Saccharomyces cerevisiae S288C: one gene and its partners. The gene in region 1 interacts genetically with each later gene. Each region holds a gene or a part of one and is shown on either strand. Other genes may lie near its edges.

Region 1 (4,451 bases):
CACAAGAACCTTGTGATTTTTCCTTCAGTGAGGAAGAAGCATCGTCCTCAACGTCGTTCTCAAACTCGTCCTGCTCAGGAAGAATCTTTCTTGTGGGAAAAGAGTTATATTTTTCAATCAATGAGGGCGAAGCGTCGATATCCATCGCATCCTCACCAATAGAGGATGAAATTTTTTCTTTATCATTTGTAAACACATCACCTGAGCGTGAAATATGAGATGAAACGGATGACCAGTATTGACGAACTTCTGGTTTATTCAATATCAGAGAGGAATCAGAGGAGAATCCGCTTGATTCCAACTGTTTATCAACCTCATTATAAGCTCCAATTTCAGGGTATGCACCAGGAGTATTTGAGCAAATAGTCATGGACATTATGGGTACTGCCTGATTTTAACAAAGGGATACTCGTAATGTCAACCGTACTTCTCTTGCTGTTAGCAAAAGTATTGTTCTATTCTTTTTTCCAAGTACAATTTTTTATTCAATTTAAAAACGTCGAAACGAAGACAAGGAAATTCATTGCCATAAAGAAGTGTATGGTATTTTACGTTGGTTTTATAAGAGGATGGCGACATATCAGAAAATTTTTCTCTTCACTCCCCTAAAAGGATAAAGCCGCGCGGACCCTGCAGGAGGAAGTAGTCATCGGGAAGAAGAGTAGAAAAATACATATATTTCATGGGTGACAGACAATACGAAAGTTATTTAAAAGAACTGAAAAAAAAGGTTAAGACCGCAGTAGGGTTGCGAGGTATATGACAAAATATATGCAAAAATCTAAGACAGTGGATGGAAATGAAGATAAAAATGTACGGAACGCAACCTAAGAAAAAGAGGAGAATTGAAAGTAAACCTGTGTAAATAAATAGAGACAAGAGACCAAATACCTACTCGTCTTCTTCTCTGGGGTCACCAACACCATCTTCATAGATCGCGAACACACATTCAGCCTCTGGTAAGCAAGGTGAGTCAACAACTTTGCATAATCTTTGACATCCCTTACCCTTTTTGAAACCTAATCGCGTGGTGGAAGAATGTGCCATAATATTACCACCGATAGGCTTCTTTGGATCTGGATTAAAAGCCATACCACCATCAACTTGGGCGACCACTTGGTTAGTAACGACGACTGCAACACCAAATTGGTCGGCCAGCCTTTGCAAAGCACGCATAAATTTGGCTAAATGCATTTGCCTTGCGCTTAGTTCACCACGACCAGAAAAATCCGTACGGTATAGAGCCATAACAGAATCGACCACAATCAAGGAAAACCGAGACTCGCTCATCATTTGGGCAGCAGCATCCAGAAGTCTTAACTGATGATCGGCGTTATAGGCTCTTGCATACGCAACGTTGTTCAAAGCATCATCCGGGTCTAATCCGAACCGCTGAGCTATGGATACCAATCTTACCGGCCTGAAAGTACCTTCGGTATCGATATACAAACACTTACCTTCACCGCCACCAATATCCAATGGAATTTGGCATGTCACGGCCAAAGTGTGACATAGCTGGGACTTACCTGTCCTGAATTCACCGAAAAGCTCAGTAATAGAACCAGTTTCCACACCACCACCCAAAAGAGTGTCCAAATTCTTAGAACCCGTTGTCAAACAAATCAGCTCCGATCTTCTCATATGAAAATCAGCAGCCGTGACAAATCCCATAGGCACTAGCCTTGCCGCTTCGTTTAGCAACTTATCTGCCTTAGCTTCCGATATACCTTTGATTTCCAATAAATCCTTTCTGGGAGCATATGCTACCGCTTCAGCAGTGTGAAGCCCACTCTCCCTTAGTTTTTTCACATCCGCCATAGTAATCCCGTTCACTTGCAGTTTTTCTATTGGCACAAACGAACCTAAGGCAGCTTCATCGTATGCTTCATCCTCCATTTCACCTTGCGCTTCCGCTTGCTCCTGCAATCCGCCACCATCGCCGGAGCCGTTGGTGGCCTCAATATCTTCGCTGCTACCGTTGCCGTTTCCATCAACGACTGACTGTGAAAGGTCTGCTGGTACAGTGGACATCAACGAACCGTTCCCGTACTGAAGCTGTGACTCTGATATATGTTGTTCTTGAACTTGAGACATATGACGATAACAAATTAGTAGGCCTTTAACAAATAACTACGTCTGCTCTTTGTCGCTACACTCAACTACTAGTATATGGAAACTACGGAAGATAGAAGAAGTAACTGAGAAAATTTTTTCTCCAGTCCCCACTATTCCCCTTTATGGTCCCACCACGCGTACTGTAAACAAACCAGGACAGAAATAGCGGAAATGACGCGTAGCATAGGGTAACGAAGTGTGGCCTAGTCGTGGGATATGGTGAGACGGTGATAAAACACTGATACAACCGGTTGGAATGCTCAGGGAATGCTCAAGAAGGCCACCTGTTGCAGGATAGCTAAACTAGATTGGTTGAAGAACGGTAGTGGTGCATTTCCAACATTTACCGTCCATTTTAATTTACTCTGTGACAATGATAAGCCAGATCGCTATTAACGTGGTGTAGTCATGTGACCGGATGGCACTGCCGGTGGCAAAAAAGTGCAAATGCAGGGGCGATGAAAAGAGAGGAAGAAAGAGTTTATGGCATAGTAGAAAGGCCAATTAAATCGGGAAGCTGCTAAGTAAGTTTGAACCGTAGTTTCGAAGTAGAGTGCGTTTCTTGCGAATTGTGGTGAAAATATTGAACAGTGAATAAAGCATAAAAAAAAAATGTCGGATCCAAGTTCTATTAACGGTGGTATCGTCGTTGCGATGACAGGTAAAGACTGTGTGGCCATTGCCTGTGATTTGCGTCTCGGAAGCCAGTCACTAGGTGTGTCGAACAAGTTTGAAAAAATCTTCCACTATGGGCATGTGTTCTTAGGGATTACCGGTCTGGCTACCGACGTGACTACTCTGAACGAGATGTTCCGCTACAAGACGAACCTATATAAGTTGAAGGAAGAAAGGGCCATTGAGCCTGAAACGTTTACCCAATTAGTGTCAAGTTCACTTTATGAAAGAAGATTCGGTCCATACTTTGTGGGGCCGGTGGTAGCAGGTATTAATTCCAAGTCCGGGAAGCCCTTTATTGCGGGATTCGACCTAATCGGCTGTATCGACGAGGCCAAGGATTTTATCGTTAGCGGTACTGCATCCGACCAACTGTTCGGTATGTGTGAGTCCCTGTACGAACCTAATCTAGAGCCAGAAGATCTTTTCGAAACTATAAGTCAGGCCCTACTGAATGCTGCTGACCGTGACGCTCTATCAGGCTGGGGAGCTGTAGTATACATCATCAAGAAGGATGAAGTGGTGAAGAGATACTTGAAGATGAGACAAGATTGATCGGTTCATGGCAATCTCATGGTCCCAAAAACAACCCCAACACAAAATATCAGCGGAACGTCAAGAATTTTCCACATCCAACTCATCTTTAATTTTTAAGTAAACAGAATAGATCGAATGAATATATAAATACTAAAATGCATAAAGTCAGTCGAAGATCTGAGTAGCTATCCGCTGGCTGTCCTTTTCTAAGGAGCAGCGTTATTCACCAGCCGCGAGTCTCTTGAAAAATTGGCGCTTTTAATACTTATTAGGATGGGGAACTTGATTCTTTGACGGGTTTGTCAGCAATTAGTACGACTATCCTACTTCATCAAGAAACGAAACTATGATCGAAGAGAAGAAGGAACTTAAGAAACGCAGGGTTCTTCAAATGGCCAGATTTTATGGTGCGGCCGCCTTCACCCTGATTACCATGAGGCTTATCTCCAGGGCCATAAAAGTACGAAAATGTATGTATTTTGTCCTAGTTCAGTGGCCAAAACTAATAATAGGATATAGTTACTAACACCGTCTACTGAAAGCAGACGTCCCCAGCATATTTCAACAAAATTACAAGCTTCCACCTTTTTCCCAAAGGAATGAAGCCATGTCAGCGTTAACGTATGCATCCGCCGCTTCAATAGGTACGTTCAGCACATTGATATTCGGCTTTTGTTGGGCACTTGACATTTCAACGGCAAGAGAGTTTGTATTTAAGACTAGAGAGTTCATGAGCCTTCCACAAGCCTTAGAAACCGACACGAGCATGGACGAAGAAACTTCCAAACTAACTAAGCAATTGCAAGACCTCCTGTCGAGCGAAAACAACAAGTAGCACTACGCATTGGCTTAATCTCTTTAAACTGTAAATAATGGTATAACTACGAGCCGTTGCCGGCTGGTCACATATCGTATATCCGTATACATTCTTTCTTCTTTTAATTATACATATTGTAATCTTTTTCTTTTTTGCATTCTCTTAAAAATTGATTGATCCATCGGCGAAATGGAAGATGGAATATCAAGCAGTTCTATTGTTCTCGGATATAACTAAGGTACCTTCAATTTGTAGGTGTACACGCTAGGGAGGTTGCTTCGTGCTGTACCGCTTCTATTAAGTTTTT
Region 2 (3,301 bases), on another chromosome or scaffold:
CCAATATTACTGCTTTAGGTCATCCACCACGGGTAGTGTTGAGGATTACCTTTTTCGGTCTACGCAATATTATCCATTGACAGTTTGGCGTACCGTACAAAAAGCCGCTGCTGCAGGTTGTACTTCAACTTTAAGTCGCCGCGTTGCAAGTACATTGTGAAAAGATACTGCCTTACGTTAATTTTCTATATCCAATTGGGGAATATGCATGTCCGAATCTGGCAGATGCATGGATCGTTGAATAGTATTTCCAATTCCGTGTAAGCTGTTGCTTACATTAATCCTATAAGGGTAATGGGTGTGCTTGAGGGGATGTGTACATACCACTTTAGGTTCGAGCTGCATACCCCAATATGGAAAAACGTATTCACCTTAACTCCAACAGATTAAAATCCTAAATAGGTAAAATTACCCTTAACTTTTCTTTGTAGTTGTTGGGTGGAATGTTGTCGTTTTTCCATTTTTTATTGTTTTCGGTTTTCGGTTTTTTTATTTTACTATTAACCTTCACTATCATAAATTATCTCCTCCTTTCCCTCCGCATTTGGTAATGGATTATCATTGGAGTCAATATTGTTAAACACTTGTGAGCAACTGCTGCTGCTTGTTGATAATGTTGGAAATGAGGCAATATTAGCAGTATCAGGTTTCAGATCAATTATATCGCGGAGTTGACCTGTTGCTTTATCAAAATCAAATTTGACAATATAGTTACGATCGTCGCTGCTTCTTGACCGCTTTAAATTTCGTCCTTCTCTTTTTCTATCTTCGCCGTGTAAATTAAAAACAATAGCTATTCTCAAGTTTTCAAAGTTTCGTTTGTTTATTCTCATTTCTTTGATGGTAGTACATCCCTCGTTACTCTGCGAGGATGACGCCTTCACTCTTTTGCTTTTCACGAAAACGGTTTCGTCCACTTGTTCATTCCAATCCCTAAAAAGGCCGATCCTGTCTCTTAGAAATACTTCCCAAGTGGAATCCTTGCTTCCCATAGCGATATTGGCAACGAGCGCGCTTTTCAATATATGTACATTGTTCTTACGCCTTTCGTTGTTAGAGTTGACAAAGAAGTTAGATCCGTCGTCTAAAATTTCGTAGTATTCTTCCAAGGATTCGAATTCGTTTGATTGGAAGGCGGTGTTCATACAGTCATTTAAAACTATTATTGTCGAACCCGTGGAATGTGTGTATTTGGTCATTACCGTAAAAATTAATATCAAATGTCGACATTTTAACTCGTGTATAGTTTTATCTATCATTCCGCCGCCTCTTTTACTTAGTGTACACAGATGATCGCAGACTAATTGAGAAAATCCATCAATTATAACTAGTTTATATCGCACACTTTGAGATAATTTGAACAAATTCTGGAAGAAATATAATAGCTGTCCAAATTTCGTTATTCGGACCCGCTTCACATTTTCTTCCACGATTTTAAATTTTTGAAAGCGTTCTCTTAGTATGTTTATGGGCATTTCTTGAAATGTTTCTATCCATAGAATTTTATCGTCGTTTATTTCCGATTGTTGTATGCCTTCTAACGAATTACACACCAATTGAATGCCAAAATTAGTCTTGCCAATGCCCGGAGGCCCAAATATTTCGTAGATCGACCTTGCCTGGAATCCCAGGTTTAATATCTCATCTAATCCTGTGATGCCGCTACTTAATGGCTTTGGACTTTCTACTATTAATTGGGAAAGTGGTATACCAAGCGACATATTTTCATATTATATATTATTAATAAGTTCTTTTCCTTATCTAAAAGCTTTCCTTAATGTACTTGACATCTTTGATAGCGGAGCTTATTATTAGTTAGTCATGCTACTATGTATTTTTTTCTATTTTTCATATCAAACGCGATGAGAAGAGAACACGTGAAGAACTTAGGGGACCTCCGCATCTATAACATATTCTACTGAAGAAAAAAAGGAATAAAAAATAAAAGAAGAAACGGTAGCTGGGTATATATTAGTATTCAAAAGCCATATTGTTAATTAGCTAAGATGTGAAAAGAAGTATGTAATATTACAATTTTTTTTCCTTTATTGCATTATGAAGAAAAAAAGAAAAATGCACTTGACAATTAGAGTGCCTGTTAAAAATTTATAAGAAATAGTCCATTTGAGATTTTTTGGTTGGAATTATAGCATTTCCGACTTCATTTTGTGCCTGAACAGCTTCAAAAATTGTATATTCACGATTCAAATCGTCGTCTATCTTCAATACAGCTGCTACATTACCACAACGATAACAGTAATTCGGTGCCGACCAGACTGTCACTAATCCACCGTCGAACATTTCTTTGTAACCTTCCATCACTAACTGATGAGCTCTAGCAATTAACTCAACGTTGTTTTTCTCTAAGAATTGATCAACTTCTCTTTTACCGAAAAGAAATCCAGCACCTCTTGGTGATAATGACCATGTGTCAACGTCTTCGGGGTCGCTCCATAATAAGTCACACATAGCACCTTCATGTGGAACTTCTTGTTTCCTGTCTATTGTTCGTATTTCATCAACCGTGGTCATATCCGGAGATAATCCACCATGAACACAGAATATGCTATTGTTTATTATTGCCCCCAATGATAAATAATCAAAAACTTCACAGCAGTACCTCCATACGTTACTATTACCATATTTTCTTACTACTTCATCGTAAAATCCGTATACTTTAGTAATTTGCCGGGTTTCGTGATTGCCTCTAATTAAAGTAATCCTATCAGGATATCTTAATTTGTAACATAGTAAAAGTAAAAAACTCTCCAATGAGTAAAATCCCCTATCCACAAAATCGCCCAAGAAAATATACCTTGTTTTCTCTACACCACCACTCTTTTCGAAGAGCGTTAGTAGATCGTGTAATTGGCCATGTATATCACCGCATATTGTAACCGGTGTATCGACTTGTGTTACATTGCCTTCATTCATTAATAGTTCCTGTGAATTTAAACATAGCCTAAAAACGGTTTCTTCAGGAATATGTTTTCCGTCTCTCAGTGATGCTATAATCTTATCTAAGTCCATCATATCTCCCTTGAAATTTGTAATCACTTTTTTCGTGCTGTTTTACTTTGCTACGTGGACTAGCGTGTGACTACAAGTTAAAGTGTCCTGAATTGCAAAAGAAAAAGCTGAGAGGTTAACGTATAAAGAGAAAAGACCTCTGGTAGTACCCTCTTTTACCTACCGCTGTTTCGACGTGCTCTTTTCGAGATGCCGTTCTTCTCCTCAGTTCACATGATAAAGATACTTTTTTTCAATTAATTCATCGATTTTTTTTCTTCCCGCCGGACAT
Region 3 (3,189 bases), on another chromosome or scaffold:
AGATCGACCTTGCCTGGAATCCCAGGTTTAATATCTCATCTAATCCTGTGATGCCGCTACTTAATGGCTTTGGACTTTCTACTATTAATTGGGAAAGTGGTATACCAAGCGACATATTTTCATATTATATATTATTAATAAGTTCTTTTCCTTATCTAAAAGCTTTCCTTAATGTACTTGACATCTTTGATAGCGGAGCTTATTATTAGTTAGTCATGCTACTATGTATTTTTTTCTATTTTTCATATCAAACGCGATGAGAAGAGAACACGTGAAGAACTTAGGGGACCTCCGCATCTATAACATATTCTACTGAAGAAAAAAAGGAATAAAAAATAAAAGAAGAAACGGTAGCTGGGTATATATTAGTATTCAAAAGCCATATTGTTAATTAGCTAAGATGTGAAAAGAAGTATGTAATATTACAATTTTTTTTCCTTTATTGCATTATGAAGAAAAAAAGAAAAATGCACTTGACAATTAGAGTGCCTGTTAAAAATTTATAAGAAATAGTCCATTTGAGATTTTTTGGTTGGAATTATAGCATTTCCGACTTCATTTTGTGCCTGAACAGCTTCAAAAATTGTATATTCACGATTCAAATCGTCGTCTATCTTCAATACAGCTGCTACATTACCACAACGATAACAGTAATTCGGTGCCGACCAGACTGTCACTAATCCACCGTCGAACATTTCTTTGTAACCTTCCATCACTAACTGATGAGCTCTAGCAATTAACTCAACGTTGTTTTTCTCTAAGAATTGATCAACTTCTCTTTTACCGAAAAGAAATCCAGCACCTCTTGGTGATAATGACCATGTGTCAACGTCTTCGGGGTCGCTCCATAATAAGTCACACATAGCACCTTCATGTGGAACTTCTTGTTTCCTGTCTATTGTTCGTATTTCATCAACCGTGGTCATATCCGGAGATAATCCACCATGAACACAGAATATGCTATTGTTTATTATTGCCCCCAATGATAAATAATCAAAAACTTCACAGCAGTACCTCCATACGTTACTATTACCATATTTTCTTACTACTTCATCGTAAAATCCGTATACTTTAGTAATTTGCCGGGTTTCGTGATTGCCTCTAATTAAAGTAATCCTATCAGGATATCTTAATTTGTAACATAGTAAAAGTAAAAAACTCTCCAATGAGTAAAATCCCCTATCCACAAAATCGCCCAAGAAAATATACCTTGTTTTCTCTACACCACCACTCTTTTCGAAGAGCGTTAGTAGATCGTGTAATTGGCCATGTATATCACCGCATATTGTAACCGGTGTATCGACTTGTGTTACATTGCCTTCATTCATTAATAGTTCCTGTGAATTTAAACATAGCCTAAAAACGGTTTCTTCAGGAATATGTTTTCCGTCTCTCAGTGATGCTATAATCTTATCTAAGTCCATCATATCTCCCTTGAAATTTGTAATCACTTTTTTCGTGCTGTTTTACTTTGCTACGTGGACTAGCGTGTGACTACAAGTTAAAGTGTCCTGAATTGCAAAAGAAAAAGCTGAGAGGTTAACGTATAAAGAGAAAAGACCTCTGGTAGTACCCTCTTTTACCTACCGCTGTTTCGACGTGCTCTTTTCGAGATGCCGTTCTTCTCCTCAGTTCACATGATAAAGATACTTTTTTTCAATTAATTCATCGATTTTTTTTCTTCCCGCCGGACATTGTATTAAATTTCTTTTTCTCATTAATAAAACAAAGAACAATGATATTTATTAAAAACCGTTTAATAGTAAGGATAATAGTGAGAAGTTACATATCATATAAAGTTATTACATATTGGAAGTTTATAAAAATATAATGTGTATGTAAATCTTCGAAAATGGTGGGTTGAGACTATTATATATATGCCTTCGTCGCAACACCACATATTGACTGTTCAAATACAATACAAAGAAAAAAATAAAGCATGAAGGAGTAAGACGTAAGATGTCTGTCTAGTCATAACCATTTCGTTAAAAAGGGTGTTTCAAACCTTTGCGCCGGTGTAAGAAGCCGATCTTTTCATAACATAAGCTTTAGATGCTAGCTTTGATTTCAAACTGCTCTCACTATTCTTGACATGACCTCTGGAATCCAGGTCGACCGTACCAGCACTTTGGAAGAGAGAGACATCACCAACAAGTAAACCTAAAGTCTCCAGGACTTGCTGAGGATCGGTTAAATGAGCCTTTGCGACAGTTTTCTTGGATGCAGATCCCACAGTGACAGGATAGAATCCGTAGTTGCCCCATTGATTTTTTTGGTCAGGATATTTTTCTTTCCAACAAGTTTCAATGGTATTCAACTGTCTAAACATGTCTTCGTCAGTGAAGTCATCACCCAAACATAATACAAAATCAGGCATTTCATCCTTAGGTAGTTTTTCACTGATTCCCTTCAACATGTCCTGTGGTTTGCCATGTTGATGCCAGACTAGTCTCTTGACTATTTCACCTTTGTTGACGAATCTTGGACGAACTTCAATGTTTGCTTTACCATCCATGACCTCTAAATCAAAGTCATCAGTAAATGATAACAATTTTTCTTTCAGTTCTTTGGCGTGGAATTCACCCAATTCTGGAACGGTACGTCTATAATGCCAAGTTAGAGCGACTTTCTTTCTTTCGATGAATGAACCTGGGGTCCTTGTGGTAAATTCTTCCATCACTTCATTGACGCGTACTTGCCAAGACATATCAACTTTTTCGGTCAAATTGACCCAATCTTGGCAAGAAACATCTTTCATGAAACATCCATGCTCCGCACTTAGACCCAGTTGAGGAAGTTTACCGCCTAACCACTTGTTCAAAAACTTCTGGTCACGACCAGAAATAATCCAGATTTGATTATGAGGATCAGCACATAATTTTTGTAGAATTGTATAAAGTCTTGCCGATGGAATAGCTGCAGCTGGGTCTTTGACAATTGGGGTCAAAGTACCATCGTAATCAAAAAGGAACAATCTACGCTTAGCCTGCTTGTAATTTTCTAAAAGAACAGGTCTATTAAGTGCTGGAGTCATTTTCCTTTCCATATCATCATTAGATGACGCCTGTTCCTTTAATGAACTCAAAAACTTATTAGTCCAATCTTGAATTGTAGGAACTTCTTTCCATAATTTTGATTCTAAATTGGACTTTTCTTCCTTGTCCAATTTCAAAGCCATGTTAATAGATT

What was found. Genes that interact genetically often act in the same process or in processes that back each other up.
Region 2: of RAD51 (region 1) and RAD55, a mutation in one rescues a mutant of the other (synthetic rescue), as found in Saccharomyces cerevisiae (9 studies listed by BioGRID, with this or other methods).
Region 3: mutations in RAD51 (region 1) and PPH3 together harm fitness more than expected from each alone (negative genetic interaction), as found in Saccharomyces cerevisiae (6 studies listed by BioGRID, with this or other methods).

Annotation. Positions count from the first base shown.
Region 1 is NC_001137.3:347,623-352,073, reverse strand, and holds RAD51 (recombinase RAD51), read right to left. Parts: upstream 2,095-4,451; coding exon 892-2,094; downstream 1-891. Other genes in the region: SHC1 (Shc1p), read right to left, coding at 1-376; PUP3 (proteasome core particle subunit beta 3), read left to right, coding at 2,728-3,345; AIM11 (Aim11p), read left to right, coding at 3,674-3,797, 3,873-4,162. UniProt on the Saccharomyces cerevisiae protein: Required both for recombination and for the repair of DNA damage caused by X-rays. Its function may be modulated by interaction with other repair proteins. RAD52 interacts directly with RAD51, via its C-terminus.
Region 2 is NC_001136.10:596,888-600,188, reverse strand, and holds RAD55 (putative DNA-dependent ATPase RAD55), read right to left. Parts: upstream 1,722-3,301; coding exon 501-1,721; downstream 1-500. Other genes in the region: phosphoprotein phosphatase PP4 catalytic subunit PPH3, read right to left, coding at 2,107-3,033. UniProt on the Saccharomyces cerevisiae protein: Required for radiation resistance and meiotic viability and presumably acts in recombination and recombinational DNA repair pathways.
Region 3 is NC_001136.10:595,394-598,582, reverse strand, and holds PPH3 (phosphoprotein phosphatase PP4 catalytic subunit PPH3), read right to left. Parts: upstream 1,428-3,189; coding exon 501-1,427; downstream 1-500. Other genes in the region: putative DNA-dependent ATPase RAD55, read right to left, coding at 1-115; trehalose-phosphatase TPS2, read right to left, coding at 2,000-3,189. UniProt on the Saccharomyces cerevisiae protein: Forms the histone H2A phosphatase complex in association with the regulatory subunits PSY2 and PSY4, which dephosphorylates H2AS128ph (gamma-H2A) that has been displaced from sites of DNA lesions in the double-stranded DNA break repair process.